Linked DNA regions of Pelodiscus sinensis. The protein of the gene in region 2 interacts with the protein of the main gene of each other region in a pairwise test. Links are inferred from orthologs where the notes say so. Each region holds a gene or a part of one and is shown on either strand. Other genes may lie near its edges.

Evidence for each region. The genes of interacting proteins can lie anywhere in the genome.
Region 1: the proteins of NEIL2 (region 2) and MEOX1 interact in binary tests that used the Homo sapiens proteins (3 or more experiments, as listed by UniProt). The two-hybrid records come from large-scale screens. The link is inferred for Pelodiscus sinensis from reciprocal best matches to the Homo sapiens genes NEIL2 and MEOX1.

What each region holds. Positions count from the first base shown.
Region 1 is NC_134739.1:7,788,801-7,792,548, forward strand, and holds the start of MEOX1 (homeobox protein MOX-1), read left to right. Parts: upstream 1-1,382; 5' UTR 1,383-1,716; coding exon 1,717-2,164; intron 2,165-3,748. UniProt on the Homo sapiens protein: Mesodermal transcription factor that plays a key role in somitogenesis and is specifically required for sclerotome development. Required for maintenance of the sclerotome polarity and formation of the cranio-cervical joints.
Region 2 is NC_134713.1:2,405,947-2,409,694, forward strand, and holds the start of NEIL2 (endonuclease 8-like 2), read right to left. Parts: upstream 2,865-3,748; 5' UTR 2,743-2,864; exon of another isoform or gene 2,534-2,742; 5' UTR 2,462-2,533; intron 1,363-2,461; 5' UTR 1,304-1,362; coding exon 1,166-1,303; intron 198-1,165; coding exon 1-197. UniProt on the Homo sapiens protein: Involved in base excision repair of DNA damaged by oxidation or by mutagenic agents. Has DNA glycosylase activity towards 5-hydroxyuracil and other oxidized derivatives of cytosine with a preference for mismatched double-stranded DNA (DNA bubbles).

The DNA.
Region 1 (3,748 bases), on a different chromosome or scaffold from region 2:
CTGATAAATGTTATTTCTTTCTGCAAGTCACTAATATTTTAGACCAGAGGTGGGCAACCTGCGGCCCATAGGTGGCCTGCTGGGGCTTTACCTGTGGCTTGTGGACCTCCTGGTCTACTCTCCTCCCGCCCGCCCGCAGGAGTCCTGCCCTTCTCACTCCTCCCCTTGCTTCCCAGCACTTTCGTGCTGCTATGAATCCACTGATTGACACTCTGCACCCTCCTCCCCCGAGCTGGAATGCTGTGAATCAGCTGTTCAAATGCTAGGAGGGAGGGAGGGAGGGGGAAGAGCAGGGACATGGCATCAATCAGGGGGCTCCAAGGGTCCCCATGTGTCAATCAGGGGGCTCCAAGGGTTCCCATGCATGAGAGCAGTATGGGGGAGGGGAGCAGAGAAGGGGCACACATGGTTGCCCATCGCTATTTTAGACTAACCATCTAGCAAGGCCCTGGGAAACCCATGTGAGAGGATGAGGGAACTATTCTATACATAACAAGAACAAGACAAGTCACATTTTTTGCCCCAAATCCCTAAACGGCCTCCACAAGGATTGAACCCACAACCCTGGGTTTAGCAGACCAGTGCTCAAACCACTGAGCTATCCCTCCCCTCCCTGGTAATACTCCAGAAGGACACATCCTAACCCTTCTCTGCCACCTCATACTCTTTGGGAAAGAGATGGAGAGCAGATTCCCTGCTAATATCCTTTCAACTGTGACGACTGTAAGGTCTGGAGATCTGTTTTCTGTTCACAAAACCTATAAAAACTTTCAACACCAAAAATGAAAAATGTGTCTCCCATTGGCACGAAAACCAGAGACGTCTTTGGAGGAAAGTGGCATTTGGACAATCCGCTGGAAAGGGGGACACCCGACGGGGTGATTCTATGCTGTGAGCTGCAAGTCCCTCTTTGCACAACGTTGACACAAGTCATCTGCAAAACCCTGGAGAACAATCTCAGGTTGAATTTGTTTTTATCTTACGATCGGCCCTTAAATCAAATGCAATCAGTGAAGTTCTCTCTTGCTTTCCCTCCCTTGTTTTAGTCCCTGGAATTTGACATCTGTTGAATTCTGGATCTGGTTTAGGGCTTTTTCCAAATCCAAGACTCGGGGAATTTTGTTAACAGAGCAATAAAAATAACTTCATAGTGGTGCAGGGAAACATTAAAGCCTTTTTTGTGTGCTGCTCTCTCCCTTTATAAAAAAAAAATACAGACAATGTTTCTTTAAAAGTCTCCATCTGCAAATCCCATTAGACGTGCGTATAAGGTTTCGGATGATTAATAGTTGCCCGCTTTGCTTTGGTTGGAGGGGCCGAGTGGATGCAAGTTTGCTCCTCCTTCCCCTCTCTCACATTTCACTTCACAAACTTGTCACTCGCTCCCCAGCACCGTATTTAAAAAGTGTTTCGCCCTGGCCCAGCATTTCTCAGGGAAGCAGCTGCAGGCCTTGGGAAACCATTCAGGCCAATCGCGGCAGAGATCTGGTTGGTGTTTTCCAGCTGGGACTATGTGGAAGTTTCGCAGGGCTTCCAAACAAACAAATTTGCCATAGGACAAAATCCACTTTTTAGGGCAGGCGGTGTGGGAGATCCAATTGTGGTTTTCCATAGAAGTTTGGACCTGTATTTTTTTTGTAAACCCAGTTTGCATCCTTGAAGCCTGCGCCAGATTCAGGTGCAAATCTTGCAGCTCGGGCGGCATAGAGGCAGCAAATGAATCCTTCCGGGAGCAGCTGCATGCGAAGCCCCTGTCCCACTCCCCCACTGTGGGGGTGTCTGCGGAATGCCCATTCGGACATCAGCCCGGGAGCAGGGGCACATCATTACTCACAAGCACCATTCTCATTCCATCAAAAACCCGACTTTGCGGCGTATTCCGATTTCTCAGCCTCTTGCCTGGCCACTGCCCCTCACAGCTTCCCCCGAGAGGAACGCATGTTCGCCGAGCACCCTTCCTTCCAGCATTCGGACTGGCACTTTGCAGCGTCTGAGGCCAGGAAGCGGCTAAATCCCGGTGTGGCTTTGGGTGCACGGGAGCTAGAAAGCGGCAGCCCAAACCTAGTGGCTGCTGCAGGGGGTGTGAATGAAGATTATGGAGTCACAGGAACCACGACAAATGAAACGGAGAAAAAGTCCTCCAAACGGAAAAAGGAAACCTCAGGTAGGTGGCATGTTCCCAGGGAGGTGGGAGGGGGGGTCGCAAAGTGTGCAGCATCAGCACATCTGTGAGATTCGGCGGCAGAGATTTGGGAAGGAAACATGTTAGAGTTCTTGCCTCGAGAAAAGTCTAGCCGGCAGCACAGAAGTACTGACCTAGAATGCTTGCTGTGTTTGCCCTGGCATTTCTGTTTGCTTTTCCATGTCGTGGGCCTGAACTAGCTACTTTCCCCTATGGCTCCCTTTCTGTAAGTGTCAGCCAGACTCAGGTGGCGGCCGATGTGGTGGGACGGCAGCCATGCAGACACATTGCGTGTCTCCATTTGTCAAATGATGGGGGGGGGGCATGTCACAAAACAGGCTGCCTGTGGGAGTGTGTTGGAAACAGGGAAAAAGCCAAACAGGTGTCGAGTGGGTTAGGGGCAAGTTACAGTGTGGAAGGTCTAGGCTGGATATTAGGAAAAACTATTTCCCTAGGAAGGTGGGGAAGCCCTGGGATGGGTTCCCTAGGGAGGGGGTGGAATCTCCATAGCTAGAAGTTTTTAAGTCTCGGCTTGCCAAAGCCCTGGCTGGGATGATTGAGTTGGGGTTGGTCCTGCCTTGGGCAGGTGGCTGGACTTGATGACCTCCTGAGGTCTCTTTCAGTTCTATGATTGTCACTAAAAGGAACCAGACCCTGCAAGGGAACACAAACGTCACTGGGGAGCAATCACAGATCGCCCACCCTGACTCATAAAGGAGGAGGCATCACGGTTGCTGGATTGCTAAAGGCATGCTTCTGCCACAAGCCTATCCCAAGGGCTAGCCCCAAGGACACTCATTCTGCCCTCTAAGTACACCTCAGGTAGGATCTCTATTGCTAGGTGCTGAGACTCTCCCTGGAAAATGATGTAACTCATTTTACAGTGTCCTGAGAGCAGAATAGCATGGACCTATCCCGCCACCTGCATTGCAAATGCAGAGTCTAGGCCACGCCCGGTGCTATCTGCAGCTGCCCACCGCAGGAAGCCACGTTGTAGTGCAGTGCGGGTTAAATGCCGCCAACCATCGGTGGTTTTCAGCTGCCTGCCATCAACGATGCCTCCTCCCCTTTGAGACACATCTCACCTCCGGGTCATTTTGGCTGCACGGTGGGTCCTTTCAATCCCAACCCAAACCAGGGGTGGAGTTGAAATGAGCGCCTTGCCCGCGATTTGACACAGCCGGGAAAAGAAAGCAGATGGTTTCACTTGCAAAATGAACACTTTCCGCCTCCTAGTTTTCAGGGATCTCAAGGACCCTTGGCTGCTTGTCGGTGTGAAATACATGGAGGGGCTGGAAGTTTCTCCCAAAGAAGCTATTGAGTTACGTATTTAGGAGGAGTCTCCCTCATTTGTGCCCACCCCTAACCTTGACGGATTTATTCGCCAGCACCCTTGGGAGATAGGAAAATGTCATCCTCAATTTGCAGACTGGGAACTGAGGGACAGAGAGGTTAAATAACTTGCCCAAGGCTACATGGGCTGCTTGGGCAGAGCCAGACTTTCAAGCCAGATCTCCGGACGGTCTGCCCAATGCTGTAACTCCCTGGCCATCTTCTTTCTTTCTT
Region 2 (3,748 bases):
CTCTGCACGCTGTGTTCTTCAGAGCTTCGCAGAGAGACATCATCCACTTCTCTCTCCCGAGCCTGGCGAAGGGAGCATGCCCCGCTGTCAGCTTTTCCTTGGGGGGTTGGCCCTTCTTCCACTGGGGATGGGCTTCCCTTCATGGGCTGGGCTTCCAGAGCAGCACAGAATGCCAGGAATAAATTCTTTCCAGACACCTAAAAATGAAGGGCAGAGGAATCGGCGGAGGACTTGAGCATTTGCAAGCAGTGAATGTTTTACGATTAGGGGCCCTCACTGCCCACAGGGCAAATGTGCAAGGGATGGGAGGGATCTGGAGGACTTTCTGGGAGATAGGAGCCAGCTCCGTCAGGGCAGAAGCCCACATCCTGTGAAGTCTTATTCGCTTTGCCAGTCTTGCTACAGCAGTGGTCTCCAGCCTTCTGGAGCACAAGATCACTTTTTCTATTTAAAGGCAATGTAAGACCTACCTCAAACCCAAATACCCTTGCCCCACTTCCTTCCCACCCCTTCTTTGAGGCCCGGCCCTTGTTCCATCCCTTCTCCAAGGCCTCACCCTGCTCGCTCCATACCCTTCCTCTTCCATCCTCACTCACTTGCACCAGACTCGGATAGGGGGTTGGGGTGCAGGCTCTGGTCTTGGGCCAAGGGACTTGGACTGTTGGAGGGGCTCCGGGCTTAGCCCAGGGTGGGAGATTGGGGTCCAGGAGGGGCTTCAGGGTGCAAGCTCTGGGAAGGAGTTTGGGTGTAGGAGGACTCACATCTGGGGCAGGAGGTTGGGTGCAGGAGGAGGTTCAGGGTTGGGACAGGGGTTCAGGAAGCAGGCTGTGCCTGGGCCCGTTTAACTGAGATGGCTTCCGGATGGTGAAGCAGTGGAGGTAAGGCAGGGGCCTAGACTCGATGACCTCTCGAGGTCCCTTCCAGTGCTCTAGGATGAGTCCTGGAGCCATGTGGGTAGTGTCTAAACCTGCCTATACAGCACTTGTTCAGAGCCACAAACGTTTCACAGAACATGTTTCCCACTGAGCACAAGAGGCTCTCTGATGTTACTGTGGTTGGCCCAAATCCAACACCACCATCTCCGCTGCACCAGCACTGCGGTTCAGGCAGGACTGGGAGGCTGGGCTGACGTGTCCCGACAAGGCTGCCTTTTAGCACAGCTCACCTGAGAGTCCTGGAGCCTCATTGCTTTCAGATCCTGCAGGCTGCTCTGCCTGCTGCTTCCTCCCACCTTGGCCACGACCTGCCCCACAAAAGGAGCAGTGAGCAACTGGAACCTCTTCACCGACGGGCCTTCAGGCATCTCCGGCTGAAGTCAGTGGGAGCTGCAGATACACACGGCGGGGGCTCACCCTGGGTAACCTAGAGCCAAGGTGCACACGATCAGTGACTGCAACAAATAGGCCACTGTCTTTGGTCCCCACATCTTCCACACCCATGCCTCTCACCCATCGGCAGGAGGGTGGGGTCAGAGAAACAGGGATCATTTCCAGTTCCCCACTGAGGAGTAAAAGTCTGAAGTGGGAGCTCACTGACCCCTGCTCTAAGCACAAGGACTTGCTTCTGATTAAACAGCAAAATAAAGTTAGTGACACTTGAGTCTGAACAAACTGATACAACCAAATCCAGATAACAATGCACATGAGATCACAAAACAAGTTTGTTTGCTTTAAACATACCACCTTAAGAAGTGGATTTTACCAACAAAAGCTCTTGATAACACACACACACACACACACACACACACACACACATTTTGTTAGTCTCCAAGGTGCCCCAGGACTACTCATTGTTTTTAAAGCTACAGACTAACACAGCTATCTCCAAGACAGCTTAGCACAGCTATTGTGTTCATCCCTCCCACACAGACCTCGTTTCAAGGGGCATCACTCCTCTCACCCCCGAAACGCCCTACATTCCGAAAACCATCCAGTACCCCTCCTTTTCACTGCTGAGAATTATTCACAGAAGAAATACAGAATCCCAGCACTGAGGGGAGAAAGCCGTTAGCACCGTTCCCTCTAATTCTTTCTACTCATGTGTGGAATACATTTTATTCGGTGCCCGGAGGCATGTGCGGATGTGTACCAGCAGTAGAAACACCTACTGGGGGAGCTCTGCTAATCAGCTGGGCAGCATGCGAATCTCATAGACTCATAGACTTTAAGGTCAGAAGGGACCATTATGATCATCTAGTCTGACCCCCTGCACAGTGCAGGCCATAGAATCTCACCCCCACCTCTCCTAGACTAACCCTCTCACCTATATCTCAGATATTGAAGCCTTCAAATACTTTGAAGGCCCCAAGATGCAGAGAATCCTCCAGCTGTGACCCGTGCCCCATGCTACAGAGGAAGGCGAAAAACCTCCAGGGCCTCTGCCAATCTATCCTGGAGGAAAATTCCTTCCCGACCCCAAATATGGCGACCAGCTAAACCCTGAGCACATGGGCAAGACTCACCAGCCAGACACCCAGAATCTCTCCTGGGTGGCCTCCGAGGCGCACGGCTTACAGGGAACGCTGGGGATTCGCCTGTAGGAAGAAATCGCATGATACTGGGCATTTCCTGCATGACCCTAAGGTTGGGCCTTTGCCACCCTGAACCACGTCCCGCATTTGGGCCTTTGTCAACTGGCAGCAGGGCTGCATGACTGGCCAGGCAGCGAGAGGCCGTAAGCACCTAGGCACTTTCTTTGGAACTGTTGTAAATGTGGTGATAGCAAGCACCTGAGAAAACCCACCAGTGGCACTCGCTGCAAAGTTAGGGCAAAACCCTGCTACTCCCAGGCTCTGCTGTGCCCCACGCCCAACCCCACCCCAGATCTGCCCCCCATCTCCCACCACCCCCTCTCTGCAAGCCTGCAAAGAGAAGTCTCCATTCCTCAGACCCACTCAATCGAATACCTAACCCCAGTTCTGCAGAGCAGTTGAGCCCAGAGTGACTAATGGGGCCCTGCTTAGGTTCTGATGGTGGGGAGGGGATAAAGCGGGGAGGCGTAAATCGTGATCCCACTGCCACTGAAGTCAATGGGAGAAAAACACAGCAATGCCCCCTCCCTGGGCTCAAAACCCAGAAGGCCCAGAGGGCTCCCAAAACCATGGGATGGGCTTAAAAATCCTGAGATTATAAAAAGGGGTGGGAGGCTTTTGTCTTCTAGACAAGAGCCTCACGAGTTCTTGTTTTCAAGTTGTTGTGGGTTTCTCCTGTGCACTGGGGAGGGCTAGAACCGACCTTGTGTGCTTATTTTACAAGCAAGGCTGGTCTCTGCACCCACGAGTTATCAGGGATGGTGTGTAGTGGGGCAGGGCGGAGGGGCACTAGGAGGACGTGCAAACACAGAGCAATGAACAAAGCCCGGAAGAGAGTCCAACGCAATCACCTCTCTCCACAGAGCGGGGCTTTTAAGGAGGCTGCCAACTCTGCGTCCAAGTTGTGGCTATGCCTTGGCTGCATTGGCCCATGCCCGGGGGGAGGGAGCAGCCTGTGAAATTTGACCAGAGCGTAGCGAGGATGTTATGCACCCATGGGCAAAGGTAAAATTTGCAGCCTGACCCTGGGAGGAGGGGGGAGCTTGTACTGCATCTTCCCCCGCCCCCTCCAGTTTGAGGCCGGGCCCCCGCACGCTCTAACCCCCCAGCAGAGATGGAGGAGGGTTGGGCTGGGGGCGCAGAGGCGGGGAGGAGACTCCAGCCACCGCCGGCGGGAGGAGGAGGAGCAGGCGAGCCGAGGGATGACAGGGAGTAGAG